Callithrix jacchus: one gene and its partner. The protein of the gene in region 2 interacts with the protein of the main gene of each other region in a pairwise test. Links are inferred from orthologs where the notes say so. Each region holds a gene or a part of one and is shown on either strand. Other genes may lie near its edges.

The links.
Region 1: the proteins of KCNA3 (region 2) and CAV1 come close enough for resonance energy transfer, tested with the Homo sapiens proteins (2 studies listed by BioGRID). The link is inferred for Callithrix jacchus from reciprocal best matches to the Homo sapiens genes KCNA3 and CAV1.

Annotation. Positions count from the first base shown.
Region 1 is NC_133512.1:87,104,030-87,108,474, forward strand, and holds the start of CAV1 (caveolin-1), read left to right. Parts: upstream 1-1,390; 5' UTR 1,391-1,414; coding exon 1,415-1,444; exon of another isoform or gene 1,445-2,115; intron 2,116-2,804; coding exon 2,805-2,969; intron 2,970-4,445. UniProt on the Homo sapiens protein: May act as a scaffolding protein within caveolar membranes. Forms a stable heterooligomeric complex with CAV2 that targets to lipid rafts and drives caveolae formation. Mediates the recruitment of CAVIN proteins (CAVIN1/2/3/4) to the caveolae.
Region 2 is NC_133508.1:148,535,340-148,539,611, forward strand, and holds KCNA3 (potassium voltage-gated channel subfamily A member 3), read right to left. Parts: upstream 2,904-4,272; 5' UTR 2,770-2,903; coding exon 1,039-2,769; 3' UTR 696-1,038; downstream 1-695.

The DNA of each region.
Region 1 (4,445 bases), on a different chromosome or scaffold from region 2:
CTTTTGTTCCAAAAATTTTTGCTACCAACCATTGCCTGTCTTTTACAGTTCTTTTATACTGTGTCTTCTCTCCAACTAGATAATCAACTCTTTCGGTGTTACATCCATTTCCCTTTCTCCTCCCTCTTACTCCCACCCCATATTCCCATCTCTATTTTAATTTTAGCTTGTGCCCCTTCAGGTGTACTCCCAGCTTATTTTATTTTATTTTATTTTTAAAATTCCAAGTGATACTTTGACTTTTGACTACATATGGAATCATAAACTTGTCTTTTTCATTTTTGGATAATGAGTTTCCGATTAATTATCACCCAAAAGTAAAATGACTGATTACTATTTAATTAATTCACTCTGTGCTTGTTTACAATAAAATCAAGAGAGAAGCCCCAAATTCAGGAACAGACAAAGTACTTTAATCACTATCACATTTTTTAAGTCTAACCAATTAGAAAACTCAAATCTTTCCTCACAGCCAAGCACATTAAAAAAAAAAACTTCTATAATCATAAACCTGAAGCTTTAATCAAATAATTCTACAATTGTAAATACTTTATGTATTTTGCAAATATGGTATAACCTGTTGGCATAAATTTCCATTGTTCCAGAATAGATTGGTAATAAAACTACAGAAAAGTTAAACATCTTCCTTTCTTATTTCGAAGTGTTTGGGAGGCATTTCAGAAACGGATGGGAAACCTCAGATTCTGCATTCCTGCTTAAGTTTCCATCCACACCGACTAGATGTAAACGAGTGTCACCAAAAGTACACCACTGCCACCCACACAGATTCCTTCCACAAGGAATCCACAAAGTTTAGATGTAAAATATACCTAAAGGTTCCTAGCCATCTTTCACCCCTCCCTCTGTGAAACAGGGAGACAGATGTGTCTTAAGGCAGAGACGGAACGTGGGCGATGGGCGGGGCGGAGGAATGGAGGGGGGATGGCTTAGGACAGGGCAGGATTGTGCCGCCTTGGTTGCCCATACTGGGCATCTCTGCAGGCGCCTCGGCTCCCTCCACCCCTGCTGAGATGATGCACTGCGAAAACATTCGCTCTCCCAGGGACGCCTCTTGGTGGTTCAGAGCTGGAAAAATGTTGCCTCGGGTTTAAAATACTCTCCCCAGGCAACCCAGAACGGGAGAAACATTCTACTCGCTCTCTGCTGGCTGCGGTCGCTCCCCGCCCTCTGCTGCCAGAACCTTGGGGATGTGCCTAGACCCGGCACAGCGCACGTCCGGGCCAACCGCGAGCAGAACAAACCCTTGGCCGGCGGCCAGGAGGCTCCCTCCCAGCCACCGCCCCCCGCCAGCGCCTTTCCCCCCCCCCCTTTACAATACAAGATCTTCCTTCCTCAGTTCCCTTAAATCACAGCCCAGAGAAATCTCAGAGCCTTCATCCAGCCACGGGCCAGCATGTCTGGGGGCAAATACGTAGACTCGGAGGTAGGCTTCTGTGGGGGCGCGCTGGGAGTGCCCGCTTCTGCTTTCTGCCTCTCCAAGTACCCGACTGCTGCCCTGACCCCAGACCTCTCTCCACTTCGCAGCACTCCTCTGGGGTTGGCACCGCTGAGGAATGGGCCTGGGCGGGGAGGTGAAGAGAAGCCAGGAATGTTTTATGTTTTCCTAATGTGGAGAGGGCCAAGGGAGCCCCTAAACTACGAGGACACAGAAAAGTGGGTTGGGGTCCTGAGACTGGGTCTGCCGGGCTGAGGACACTTTCTCTGGATGGGTCTAGGATGCTCCCTTGTTGCGGGACCCCCATGGTCCGGCCCTGCCTGCTGGGGGTTCGGGGAGGTGGAGTGCAGGGGGAGGCGGAGTTATTTACCCGAGTCCTGGGGACAGTCCCCGGGACTCCCTGCCGGCGCCCAGACTGGCTGGCCCCAGAGGGGGCGCGAGGTGTGTTTGCACTTTCCAAAGTTCTTGAACCGTCTCAAGAACTCCTGCATCTTGGCTTCTGTCAGGGGCGTTCTGAGAGGGGTGGACCTGCCCTTCCCAAACTGCCACCACCTCTTCCAACCCCATCCACCCGCGGGAGCTCTGCCCGGGTGTGGGGAACTCGTCTTCCCGCCCGCAGCCTGGGGGTGCCCTGAGGGTGGGTCGGGGGAGCTGCACAGGTGAGACTGAGTTCTGGGATGTTTAGGGGGTCTGGCGCGCGGCTCCGCCAGAGATAGGAGCTTCGGGATTGTGATTAAAGCATGGGATTGGGGAGGGAGTACCGTAGAGGGACGAGAGAGGGCCAAGGCAGGGTGGGGGGCGCGGGCAGGTGCGAGGGGGACACCGCCAAGAGGTCGGGAGGCTGTTGTTGGGTCTTAGACAAAGCTGGAAGGGATTACGGGGACAGGGGTAATGGGGGCCGGGGACTGGAACGCGGAGCAGGTGAAGCGCTCGGGGCTAGAGCGGCGCTACACACGGGTCCGGGTCCGGGAGAAGCCCGAGGCCGCCCCCTCGCCGCCAGGGTCCTGCGGGTCCTGCGGGCTGAGCCGGGGCGAGCGCGGGGGCGGGGGCCTGAGGACCTCGCGGCGGGGCTTGCCCTGACCCCTGGCGGCGGGCGGGGGAGGCAGGCGCGCCCCACCGAGTACCGAGGGGTGTGGTGTCCTCGGAGAGATCCTCTTAAAAAGCTGGCGGCGCGCAGGCGGTTTCTGTGCGCGGAGCGGTCGCTGTCGGAGCGGTTAGTTCGATTTCAAGCCGGAGGTATTCCCGCCGCCGGGCTGACTTCTGATCGCTTGCTTTTCTTTTTGAATATTTCCTCCCACCACCGTTGCCGCCCTCCCGCTCCTGGCCGTCCGCCCTCCGCCCTCTGCAGGGACATCTCTACACCGTTCCCATCCGGGAGCAGGGCAACATCTACAAGCCCAACAACAAGGCCATGGCAGACGAACTGAGTGAGAAGCAAGTTTACGACGCGCACACCAAGGAGATCGACCTGGTCAACCGCGACCCCAAACACCTCAACGACGATGTGGTCAAGGTAGGCCGAGCGGCCAACTGGGAAGGGCCGGGACAGCTCTCCTCTGGCAGTTAGCCCGTGCATCCTTCTTTAGCATTGCCGTGCACACACCACACCACACCACACAACACACACACACACAGTTTTGTGGGTTTGATGTGGAGGCGCTCCACGGTCAGCAGAAATTGTCACATCTTCCTTCCCCCCATCTTCCCCAATAGTCAGTTCAGCTGGAATTCAGCTAAAATGAGTTTTGTAGAAGCTCTGATAACTACACTTTTGTCAGAGCAGATGACCCTATTGACCTCAGCAACAGACGGCCCATACTCCTTGGGACGGTGAGATGGTTCCCATCCATTCCCAGGTTGAAAGTCTGGTGCACGTGGCATTAAGACAGTAAGATAATTGTGTCAGGTCTTGTGCCGAGGAACAGTCGGAATACAAGATGGGCATGTTCCCCCACTAAAACGATGGGAAGTGCTTTCTTAAAAAATGATACAGTGGATGGAAATGCCTAGGACTAAAGACAAAGAAAATACCTACTTATTCACATACAAATGAGAGTTACTTTACGCTAATAAGTCACTTGTGCACAACTAAGCAAATCTACAAAACCAAAAACAATATGTGCCTCTTGGTTACTCCTATGGACACCTGCACTTAGATGTGGAAAGTTGCTTCTTTAGCAGCTGCCTGGGTCAGCCTGCCCTGAGCTAATGGCACATTCAGGTTGGAGTTCCTTCTCACACTTTCAGGATGTGTTTGGTGAGATTAAAAATAAATGGACCGGGTTATTGGCCAGACTTAGATGTGACTCAGTGGTCAGTTTTAAATTATCATTATTACTTGATTTTGACCCTTTTAGCCAATCTAGTGGGAGGAATTATTGTCTAAACACATCTGGATTGGGATATCATGGGCTAGAGCCATCCTTGGCAGAGGGTTTTCTCTGAGAAATGGAAGGCTAAGGAAAAATCCTGGCTCAGGGATTAGAGTGTGAAGATCTAGACCTACACAATCCCCAGCAACCAATGAAGTGAAGGAGCAATTGCCACCCACCACGCCTCCTATCTATGGATGGGAGGAGCTATAGGTTGCAAACTGTTCACATTCATGAATAATATATTTCAAAAGAGGAAACAGTTTAATCTGTAACTGGAAGGAAAATATAACTGTCAGAATTGACTCTCTTGGCTTCCTGGCATAGGAAAAAGGAAAATTGGAGCATTTGCAGCTTTTTTTGAGTAGCCAGATTATGGACTATTTAAAAGCAACAGCAACAAAAGTACCTTATAAACTAGAAATTAGAATCACTAAAAAAAACTATTTACTAAAAACATTATCTTAAAGGGAGAGGATATTTATGCTTTCCTCTCCCCTCCCCTCACCCTTCTCATGTAGCTTTGAACAAGGAGAGTTGCCAGGAAAAGAGGCAGATTTCAGAGAGGACTCGCTTCACGGGATCCTCCCTGTTGTTCCACTGCACTGAGAGTGAGA
Region 2 (4,272 bases):
TATTTATGCGGTTTATTCAAACAGTGGTTTTCCTTTACGAAATCATTTAAGTAGGAACCATCTGGAAAGGTTACTGTGGAAACAGCAGGGACTGGAAGGTGGGGCTAGAGAGCAAGAGATGCCATGACAACCTTTTTCGGGTTTCCCAGGAAACATGGGTTGCTATGGGAACTGCATCAGTCAGGTCCGAATTAGCAACTTCCGCTGGAAGGGGTGTCTGCCACTTTAATCTTCTTGCGATACTGCCGAAGCTTATCTCTCAGATGCATTAGGAAATTTTTTGTTTCTCTCAGCAGCACTGAAAACATCTGTTTCTAGACTTTGATAGATGTTGGGGCTGGGACATATGCACAGAACTTCACAGGAATCTGTTAGTCTAATGCTTTAGAAATGCTTAGCAAGCCCGAAAGAATTAAACTAATTAGTCAGATCAGGACATCTCGGGCATTTCCCTTCATTCAAAGTTGTAGAGACCCTTAAAATTCTGGGAAAAACCAAATAAACTCGTGGTGGGTTTACAAGTCATTATTCTAGTTAGAGTCTTCATCCACATATCTACAGGGTAGGCAACTGAAATACTTATTCAGTAAATAATGTTGAAAGGTCCATCATACTGAAGTATCATTTACTACAAACTCATGTGCTTAGGAAAGAAACAACTGCCATTAAAATTCTGAGGTTAAACAGTTACTCTAACTGTTCTTTAGTTTCGTTTCCTCCCAGGATGTACTGCTTTTTTTTTTTTTTTTAAATAGGGCGTGTACTAGAAATGAAGTTTAATGTAAGTTTGTTGTTTACAATATTGAGAGAGAGAGAGGGTAAGAGGAAAAAGGAGAGCTGAGAGAATGCAGCCCACTTGCAAAACAGGCACCTGTTTCAGTATGAAGCAGTAGGGAGAGGGAGAATGAAGTGTGCTTCCCACTTCTTCAGGTCCTTTCCTTGATGAATGGTCTGGAAATGTATAAAACAAGGGCATAGGCAGACCAAGGGGGCACGTTCCACACAATACTGAGCACAGCATGTCACTTGTATTATATATTAAACATCGGTGAATATCTTTTTGATGTTGACACAGGAGTTGGGATTATTGTTCGTGGTGCAGGTGGCAGTGGAATTGCCCGTTTTGAAAGGGATCTGGGGGAAAGCGCTATGGTTCATACCCCCCTCTTCGATCACCATATACTCCGACTTACTCAGAGTCGAGTTACTCCTTGCTTTTCGGAGCTCCTCGGCTGAAGAGGAGAGGTGCTGGCAACTTCCTACGTGCATGTACTGGGCTTGCTCTTCCCCTTCCGTCTCCCGGTGGTAGAAGTAATTGAAGTTGGACACAATCACGGGAACTGGCAATGCGATGGTCAAGACACCGGCGATGGCACAGAGAGATCCCACAATCTTGCCCCCTATGGTCACTGGGTGCATATCACCATAACCCACTGTTGTCATGGTTACCACTGCCCACCAGAAGGCATCCGGGATGCTGCTGAAACCTGAGGTGGGGTCGTCTGCCTCGGCAAAGTAGACCGCGCTGGAGAAAAGGATGACCCCAATAAAGAGGAAGAAGATGAGCAACCCCAACTCTCGCATGGACGCCTTCAGCGTTTGCCCGAGGATCTGCAGCCCCTTGGAGTGGCGGGAGAGCTTGAAGATGCGGAAGACCCTCACCAGGCGGATGACCCTCAGGATGGCCAGGGACATGGCCTGCTGTCCGTTGCCCTGTCGCTCGGCCAGCTCTGTACCCAGAGTGATAAAATAAGGGATGATGGCCACAATGTCAATCAAGTTCATGATGTTTCGCGAAAAGGTGGCTTTGCTAGGACAGGCGAAGAACCGCACCAGCAGCTCGAAGGAGAACCAGATGATGCACAGGGTCTCCACCACGAAGAAGGGATCGGAGAAGCTGGAGGCTCCCCCCGAGGCCCCCGACGTGCTGTTGCCGGCTGCATCGAACGCGTCCTGCGACGGCGAGGAGGGGTAGTCCTTCTCGTCGCGGAACTCCGGCAGCGTCTCCAGGCAGAAGATGACAATGGAGATGAGGATGACCAGCACGGACACGATGGCGATGCCCCGGGCCGGCCCGGAGCTCTCGGGGTACTCAAAGAGCAGCCACACCTGGCGCTGGAAGTCGCGGCGGGGCAGGGGCCGCTCCTCCTCCCGCAGGAAGCCCTCGTCCTCGCGGAATTTCTCCATGGCCTCCTCGCCCAGCTGGTAGAAGCGGATCTCCTCGGAGAAGATGTCGATGGGCACGTTGACGGGCCGGCGGATGCGGCCCCCGGACTGATAGTAGTAGAGGATGGCGTCGAAGCTGGGCCGGTTGCGGTCGAAGAAGTACTCGTTGCGGAGCGGGTCGAAGTACCTCATGCGCCGCTTGGGGTCGCCCAGCAGCGTCTCGGGGAACTGGCAGAGGGTCTTCAGCTGCGTCTCGAAGCGCAGCCCCGAGATGTTGATGACCACGCGCTCCCCGCAGCAGTCCTGCTCGCCCGCGGCCGGCAGTGAGGGCGGCAGCGGCTCGTAGCGGTCGCAGCCGCCGCCGCCGCCGCAGCCGCCCTGAGGCGGGGCCCCTCCACCGTCCGCCGCCTCCGGCTCCAGCAGGTGGTCCCCGGGCACCACGGTCATGTCGGGCGGCAGCTCCGGGCCTGCGGCGGGCTCCGAGTAGCCGGGGTTGACCAGCGTGTGAGCGCCGCCGCCGCTCGCGGGGCGCTGGGGAGGGTGGGCGCGGTGGCGGGCGGAGGGCAGCGGCGGCGAGCGCAGAAGGCTGAGGTGCTCGTCCATGCGGCGGGGAAGAGGCGGCGGCGGCGGCGGGGCCGGGTCGCTCCTCCTCGCGCTCCCCGCCCCTTCGCCGCCTCCGCCCCCGAGCGGAGCCCGCCGCCTGTTGCAGCTGCCGCCGCGAGGCTCGGTCAGGGTCTGGCGCGGTCCGCCGGGCTCCCGCACAGAGACGCCTCCTCCCTCCGCCTAGCGCTCTCCGCCCCCTCCCCCGCGGGGCGCGCGCCCGCCTCCGCGTCCCTTCAGGATTCCCGCCCACTGCGCGGGCGCGCATCTCGCGCCCTGAGGGAGCCGCCGGGCCTTCCCTTCTTACCGCCCTCACGGACCCTCGGTGTCAGTGAAGCGCCCTCATGTTGCACCTCGGCGCCCCGCGGGAATGCCCACCCAGCGGAACCGGCCCACGGGGAGTCCGGCTGCCGGCCCCGGCCCCTGGGCTCCTCCCGCTTCTGGTCCGCTTCCCTCGCCCCCGACCCGCGTGGCGGCGTCCCAGTAGCCAGGAGCTCCTGCGGCGGCCCCGCGGGCGCCGGCCCCTTGGCCTTCACATTCCCCCCGGGCCAGCCCGGGGAGGGCAGGAGGTCCCGGTGTCCGGGGAGGGAATGCAGGCCAGGCGGGCGCCCTGGGCCGGAGGCAAGCCTGACACCGGCATCCCAGGCTCACTTGAGGGTCGAGGGCCGCCAAGCCCTGGAAGGAGCGTGGGGGGGGGGGTCTAACAATTTAGCTCCTGCTAGGATGAGAAGCCGAACGGAGTAAGGGTGCTGATGGGCTTCGCAGACTGAGTCCGAAGGAAATGGACCCTTAAAGGCCTTCGGGCCCTGCCGCTTTAGTGATTAGTTCACACCCATTTTCGCTGCGGAGATTTCGGCCACTGGGAAGAATCAAGGACCAAGTTTCCGATTGGGATTAGCAGTGACAGCCTGGCCTTTGTACACTGCAGAGACTTCCTGTCGGCGGGGAAGTAAGAGGAAATGGGAAAGGAAATTCACATCGTCTAAGTTGTGTGGTTACAAAGTCCCACTCTATGGCTCAAGTGTGTCGTGGAAGGGATGAGAGCAGGATCTGTACCTAGACTTTTTACTTCATATTTCAGCACTGCCCTTGTGGTGGGGAATTTGTCAGGCTTTATTTGTTAAACCCGGGAGGGCATTCATTCTGCAACTTGTACCTCTTGCTTGATCTGGGCCCAGAGGTAACTTACATGTATCTTCTTTAAACGTATTTTTCCAAATTGTTGGGGTTTACTTTGAACACAATTGTTTCCAGAAATTTTAACAATCTAATATAAGCTAACCCTAGGCTTTAAAGAGTCCATTTTTTAAATTGTATCATTCAAATCATTTACGGAAGAGGAACTGTTGTCTAGACAGCTCCTCACCCACCCCAAGTTCGCTGACAGTTCAATTTGAAGTAAGTGATTTGTGGTCAATACTTCCCACCACCACTCCCAACCGTAGGGTTCTCTAGGGCTCAGAGTAGGTCCTGGCCAATTTATACTGCTAGCATCTACCAAAGTGC